2 linked regions of the Schizosaccharomyces pombe genome follow. The protein of the gene in region 1 interacts with the protein of each later gene in a biochemical or structural test. Each region holds a gene or a part of one and is shown on either strand. Other genes may lie near its edges. The genes, in order: sap49 and prp11.

Region 1 (3,909 bases):
AGGTGTTGACTGGAGAAGATTTTACATATTATAGAGTATTATCACATACCATTTGATTTGATTATGTAAATAGCTTCCTCAAAAAAGCCATCATCAGTAAAGCTATAACTAATACCCGGTAATTCAGGTTCGAAGAAATCCTCATCCAAAGGGTCAAAGAAATCCTGCAGAGGGTTAGTTAGACAATTTTTTGAAAATCAAAAGTTAGCTTACGGGGCCAGTCAAAACAGTTTCAGACTTGGAAGACCAAGTTCCGACTAGATTTTCATCGTAATTATCAATTTCCGCACCAACATATTGGGTGAGCCACAAACAGGTAAACAAACCAATTTGATAAAGAAGATGCATTGTGCTGAATGCTTTCTTATAGTTTTCTAAAGGGTCGAATAAGAAGCTGTTACCAATGTTTATGCAAAAAACTTCTATATGGTTGTTGACACAAGTCTTCGTGTACTTGATTTATTTAGTTTTACGGGATAACGAGTCAAAAATAATACTTCACTAATATTGGTCAAGAGATTAGCAGCTTATATTTAATATAATGCTTAGACTATACTTTCGTTTGGATTGTATACATAATTCAATGTATCTGAAAATATGTTGGATTGAATTAATGCGTCGTTTATAGACTATATTGCCGATATTTAGGGACGAAGTAAAACTCATTACTAGAAAAAGTCAAACTGTAAAATATAAACAAACATCAATTTTAATTTCTTTTAAATAAGATAAATCTCAGCTTCCACTTTTTTTACTGTACACGTTAAAAAAAAAATCAACCATACGGATCAATCTCAGCTATTTTACTATGCCGGCGTTTGAGCAACAATGGTAGTTATTTTGCTTCTTTTTAAAATATTTTACCTCCTTTGTTGTTGACTGTATCCATTTTGTGCATTGATTGTTTGATAAAATGGTATGTTTGGCATTACAGGAGCACCAGGTATGGTAGCAGCAGCAGGAGAAGGAGAAGCCATCACCATTCCTGGTGGTGGAGGGGGGACAAGTGGTGCACCTCCAGGGCCCATTGGAACATTCATCATTGGCATAGCAGGCATTCCAGGGAAATGCTGTGCAGCAGTGAAAGGAAGAACATTAGGTATTGACAAGGGAGGGACGGCAGTAGTTGCTCCCACTAGAGGAACATTCGGTACAGGAGGTATCGATGTAGCAGCAATTGTTGCTGGAGTATTAGCAGCAGATGTTGGAGCAGGAGTGGCGGGTGAAAATCCTGGAGGCAGAGTACTCTGAGGAGTAACGGCAACTTTATTCTTTTTAGCGGCTGCTGCTAGCTTTCTTTCCGCAATATCTCCGTGACGTTCACCCTTTCCTTCGCGTTTAAAGGCGTATGACACGGTAATTGGTTTATTCATTAAAAACTGATTATTCATGGCCTCAATGGCTGCATCAGCGGTTTCAAAAGAATCGTAGCTAACAAAACCATAACCTTTCGACCTTCCATTCTCGTCTCTTGCTACCTGAGGTGCCTTGACAAGTTGTCCCAAAGCAGAAAATGTATCGTACAATACGCGTTCATCAACAAGAGGATCCAAGTTGCCAACAAATAAATTTGCACCAATTAAGGTATTGACTCCTCTGTCCTGGCTAGCTCTATTGACCCTTATAGGCTTTCCAAACAACTTTACTTGATTCAGAATTTGACATGCATACTCAACATCTTGTTCGTGTAAGAATTCGCAGAAACCAAAGCCATTATGACTATTCCTTACTCTATCTCTTGGAATATGAATATTTACTGTATGAATTAGTATCGAAAGCCACAAATACAACCAACACTCGAATAATTACATACCAACTGGACCTGCCTGCAGGCATAACTCAAACAAAATAGAATCCGTTACTTTTTCATCAAGATTGCCAAGATATATAGTTGCATCCTGATTCCTGTCTTCTCGAATACTCATTAATAAATAAGTAAAAATAAGTTAAAGTGTCTATTATAGAAATTTATTAGAATAAATAGATAGACACGTTTGAAGACGCTGGTAGAAGATTCAAGAAATTGGTGCATAGTCTCGTTATTGACTTAATGACGAGCACCAAATAGCACAATAGAAAACTAAATTACAGTATTCATCGTTAAAATTTCAGTGTCCAGCGTTTTCCAAACACATTTATGGAGATTTTTAATACTAAATCTTCGTTTTTTTTTTATTATTTTATAATTTTACTCATGAGATTGAATTATATTCAAGTTGAAGGTACAGTTGTGAATGGTAGACTGACGAAATATTTTTTATAGCAACCTATCTCTTTATACAGCCCTAATTTCCTTACATCCATCGTACACTAGTACATTTAATAGGTTCATTTATTAACTTTTTGTAAAAACGATGTTTGGCCATGTATATTTATTTTTGCTGCTGTAGTTTTGAACACAACTGAGGGCTTATTTATGTTACCCTAGATGGGCTTTTTACTCCCATGTGGTCTTTGTAACCTTCTTATGATCTTCACCCTTCAGGTGATACCACGACTTCAGTTGAATTTTATAGCTTTTCGAGTGTGTTTTTAATCAAAATATTTCTGTGATGTTGGTGTTTTGAAAAAGCGTACTTGTGTAGTCCTAGATGCCCCTTTTTTCTTTCACTTAAGTCTATTATTGTTTATGTTTAATTTTCTACTTGCAAACTTTTCGAAAGGACTGTTCGTAGCCTTTACGTTTATTGCTTATTTATTTTTTCTGATTTAAGCTCGTGAGCTTTTTCTAACAGACGTACGATCAGACAATTGGCACGTCTGCTTTTCTTTTCTTTTCTTTTTTAAGACCTGTCTACTCAACGCAGGATTTCTTCGATTATCTAGGTTTTTAAACGGTTTAAAAGGACACAGAATATTTTATTACTTCATTTTAGTATTTTATTTTCGACATGATTGCTGCTGTCGAAAAAGATGCTGTGCCTCGAAAAAGGCGAGTAATCAGTCAAGTATCTCAGGCATGCATTCGGTGTAGGCAGAAAAAAATAAAGTGTTCTGGTGAAAAGCCATCATGTCAAGCTTGCAGTAACAACAAAGTTGAATGCATTTGGCCTGATCGACCGAATATGCGAGGCAAAAAGCCATCTTCCGCTGCCAGAACCTTGAGTCCTCTTACTGGTATAGTGCAACCGTATCTGGGCTCTCATCCTTTTTCTCCTACGATCCTCTCTCCATCATCTCCTAACATGGATTTTACTTACTCTATTAATAGCTTTGGTGACTATCAGAAGCAGTTAAGGCTACCAACCAGTAGAAAGTTATTACAGCTTTGGGACATATTTCTTAAAACTTCATATACCGAACTTTTTGGGATATTTAATAAGGCCCAAATTACGTCTCAAATTGCAAGTGATACTGCTCCGCCAGTCCTCGTACTTTGTATATGTGCTCACGCTGCTCGTTTCAGTCAAGAGGAAGTCAATAGATTTAAATCTTCAACTGCAGCATCTGATTACTACGCAAACCAAGCCTTTTCACTGCTTCCTTGTCGTTTCCAGGATATTTCACTGACTAATATCACTTGCCTGCTCTTGCTTTGCTTAATTGAGTTGGGCTCTTGTAGAGGCGCTAAAGCCTGGCTTTTACTGGGTATGGCTCTCCGTATGGTCGATTCTTTAGATCTTGGTAACGAAATAAATGATAATCCTCTTACGATGGGATCCAACACTGTTTCATGGACTGAAGCCGAGCAGAAAAGAAGGGTTTATTGGGCTTGTTTTTTTGTCGAACGTTTGCTAAGTACAGGTTACATGGCACCTTCAAAATTGCGCTCACTTTCTTTATCTCTTCAAAAGACTAGTATACAATTACCTTGTCCGGAACCTAATTTTTTATTTAATCAGCCAATTCTTACTGAGTTATTTGATGGATCTTTACCGGAAAACACTCAGTCAGACACCACTTCAATGG
Region 2 (3,930 bases), on another chromosome or scaffold:
AACCTGGTGCAATTACACACAGACCATCCTCTTCAATAAGTTCGTTAAAAACCTGCTGCTGGTAAGCAAGAGGCAAATGAACCTTTGTTTCCATATTTAATGGTGGTGTTATTCGTAGAGATTTTCCAATTTGCAATTTTGATTTCTGAAAGCTGTTAAATACTTTGATGCGAAAATTTTCCAATTTGGATGGAATAATCAACTCTATTTCTATTTCCGTTCACAAATGTGTTAAATAAAAAACAGTAGCATGAGATAGACTCCTTCTTAGGAATTTAGGCGGATCGTGAAGTTAAGAGACTCTCAAGGATGATGAAAGGAAGAATCTGTACAAAACAAAAATCCTATATAAGACAATGAATTTAAAAATGATTACCAACTGATAAAAGTATCCAAGGAGAACCAAATACAAATATTTAACCTAAAGATGAAAGAGTGAATGGAATACAGCAATCAGTAAAAATGAGCAACCAACTATACATACCAACTAGAGGTTAAACTAGTTTCAATATATTGGGTAAAATAAATTACTTAATATACTCTTTAACCATTGCTCAGTTTCGGGCATAGTTCATGCCTTAGCTTAATTCTCCTTAATTAGATACTCTACATTCAATCTTTCCATGTATTCACGTTGGGGTATCCCATCGCTTGTATTTGGACAACCATATTTTTTAAATTTTCTTTCAAAATGTAAGATTTATTTGCTGTCGGTTTCTAACTTCATTACATGCGTATAACCATTGCTCATCCTAAAAACAATTATCCCAGTATTAAGTATATCAAATTATAAAGCAATACCAGAAAAATAATGCCAGCTATTAATACTATCACTGTTAAATCGAGTAAATGGCGAAAAAATACACTTAAAAAAAATAAAAATAAATATACACATAAATAATTTTCTCTTTCATTTGGCATTACTAAAGAATTTTCGTTTTTTGGTTTTCTGCTAAGTCAATATTATTGGTCGAAGAGCGCAAAAACATAAACATTATAGAAAAAGTATAACATTATGTAAATTTCAATTATGCTTTTTTTTTTTTCTTTTTTGGAATGGAAATAATGGCTTTTCTTAATTTATGTACGCTCTAAATTATCTGACTTATTACATTCTATTGTAGATGACTGTTTAACAGACATTTGAAAGAGTACCTTACTAGTAATCAAGAATTGTGGATTCCAAGCCTTAACCCCAATAGTTATTTACATAAAAAAAGAAATATTGTAAATAAAAAGAGCTAACTCGCCTATTCGCCAATCAATAAAATTTTTTATCGTCTTTTATTTCTCGGTTTTCCGATATTATCTTTAGTACAAAAGCAATAAAAATTCAGCAACAATCAAAATGTAAGCGGTGTTGAAAAAATTACTTATATACCAGTGTTGATTATTTTTCCGAGTTTTACTGGTTAAGTTGAAGGTCCAGTGTAGGGAACCATAATTAAATTTTAAATAACTGAAATAAAAAATGAATATTACTTCTAAGATTTATAAATTGCACAGAATTCAGGTTGCTTTACCGACTTAACTGGCAAATTCATTGCTTTTTAATAAACCCCATATGACTTGTATAAATAATCATAAAGAGGTTAACTATAATAATGTAAATTATATCTAGTAGTGAACTAATATCATATGCATAATATATATTGCTATATAAAGTAATTTATGTCGTTTACTTGCCTCATTAAAACTCTTCGTGTACATATCACAACACCCAGTTTTTGATGTCTAGAAGAACACGATCAAGGTCGCCTCCAAGGCGATCCTACAATAGAGAAAGAAGAGATTACCGAAAATATGATGACTCTGAAGATCAAAAGGGTGCACGGTATAACCGATACGTAGACGATGTATCAAGTCGACGAGATAGGCATGATTCTTTTCGTTCTCACGAGTCTAATAAAATTAGAAGAGATAATTCTTGGAAGCATGATAAGTATAGTTACGAAAAAAGGTATCAAGAGCGAGATCGAGAGTATGCGAGATCAAAGAATATTCCCGATCAGTATATTGGTAGGTCACCGCGACCAACATCTCATAGACATGCTGAGGAAAAAGAAGTAGACAATAAAACTAAATCAGATGAAACAAATCCTGTATTACAAGGTTCCGCAACTGAAATAAAGCCTCAGCCTAGACGTTCTCGATTTGATCGAACTGAGAGAGTTGGTGCTTCTTTAAGTGTTTCAGAAATTCAATCTGAAAATCCACGAGTTGATGTAATTCCCAAGGATAAAGCTGTTGAAAATAATCATCAACGAAATGCTGAAAAGCCAGTAGCGTCAGACAAAATTACGGATGCTAAGCTACTCGCCAGGCTAGAACGAGTTAGAGCGTGGAAAGAGTCAAAGGCAAAACAGGAGGCTTCCAAGAAGGAGGAGCACAAGTTGAATACAAAGCCGCAGGTTACAGCCAAAGACCAGAATGCTATGCCTTCAACTGGTATATCCGGGTTTGAGATTAATCGCCAAAAAGATACTTCGGATATGAAGCGAAATAACCGAGTTCACATGGATGATGAAGATGGTCCTAGGCGTATGAATCTTGAAGACTACCAGGAGCTTTGGGACCAAGAAGACCGGGGTATGCTAGGAAATGAGCAAGCAGCTAGCATGGAGGAAGACGAAGTAGATCCTTTAGATGCTTACATGGCCTCTTTGGTTGGTACCACTGATACCATAAGGCCTGGTTTATTAAATACGGAGGTCATTGATCCGAATGCAAACGATGACGAGCGCATGGTAATTTCAGAGACTTTGGAAGAGGAAGAAAATTTACTTGCTCTTGCTGCAAAACGATCAAAAAAGAAAGACGTAATCACAGTTGATCACTCAAAAATAAATTATGAAGATTTCAAAAAGGATTTCTATGTTGAACCTGAAGAGCTCAAAAATCTGTCACCAGCTGAAGTTGATGAACTACGGGCTTCTTTAGATGGTATTAAAATTCGTGGTATTGATTGCCCGAAGCCAGTTACTAGTTGGAGTCAATGTGGTTTATCTGCCCAAACCATAAGCGTGATCAATTCCTTGGGATACGAAAAACCAACCTCTATTCAAGCACAAGCAATTCCAGCGATTACTTCTGGCAGAGATGTAATTGGCGTAGCTAAAACAGGAAGTGGAAAAACCATTGCTTTTCTTCTTCCTATGTTTCGACACATCAAAGATCAGCGCCCATTAAAAACAGGAGAGGGTCCTATTGCAATAATAATGACTCCTACTCGTGAATTGGCTGTGCAAATTTTTCGCGAATGTAAACCTTTCTTAAAGTTATTGAACATTCGTGCGTGTTGTGCATATGGAGGTGCCCCTATTAAAGACCAAATTGCTGATTTAAAACGCGGTGCAGAAATCGTAGTTTGTACTCCTGGACGTATGATTGATGTTTTAAGTGCGAATGCAGGACGTGTTACTAACTTACACCGCTGCACTTATTTGGTTTTGGATGAGGCCGATCGTATGTTTGATTTAGGATTTGAACCGCAAGTCATGAGAATTATTAACAATATTCGACCTGATCGGCAAACCGTACTATTTTCAGCTACCTTTCCTCGTGCTATGGAAGCCCTTGCAAGGAAAGTTTTAAAGAAACCTGTAGAGATTACGGTTGGCGGACGGTCGGTTGTTGCTTCTGAGGTTGAGCAAATCGTTGAAGTACGGCCTGAGGAAAGCAAGTTTTCTCGGCTATTAGAGCTGTTAGGTGAGTTGTACAACAATCAACTTGATGTACGTACACTTGTTTTTGTGGATAGACAAGAGTCTGCGGATGCACTTTTGTCGGACCTTATGAAACGCGGGTATACAAGTAATTCAATTCATGGCGGTAAGGATCAACACGATCGCGACTCAACCATCAGTGATTATAAAGCAGGAGTATTTGATGTATTAATCGCAACTAGTGTAGTTGCTCGTGGGCTTGACG

What was found.
Region 2: the proteins of sap49 (region 1) and prp11 form a complex in vitro, tested with the Schizosaccharomyces pombe proteins (one study listed by BioGRID).

Annotation. Positions count from the first base shown.
Region 1 is NC_003424.3:2,987,412-2,991,320, reverse strand, and holds sap49 (U2 snRNP-associated RNA-binding protein Sap49), read right to left. Parts: upstream 1,949-3,909; 5' UTR 1,926-1,948; coding exon 1,814-1,925; exon of another isoform or gene 1,757-1,813; coding exon 861-1,756; 3' UTR 504-860; downstream 1-503. Other genes in the region: chaperone Rot1, read right to left, coding at 50-164, 214-348; mca1 (transcription factor), read left to right, coding at 2,892-3,909.
Region 2 is NC_003421.2:517,810-521,739, forward strand, and holds the start of prp11 (ATP-dependent RNA helicase Prp11), read left to right. Parts: upstream 1-1,702; 5' UTR 1,703-1,730; coding exon 1,731-3,930. Other genes in the region: rad16 (DNA repair endonuclease XPF), read right to left, coding at 1-94. UniProt on the Schizosaccharomyces pombe protein: ATP-dependent RNA helicase involved in pre-spliceosome/complex A assembly and mRNA splicing. Bridges U1 and U2 snRNPs during pre-spliceosome assembly and enables stable U2 snRNP association with intron RNA.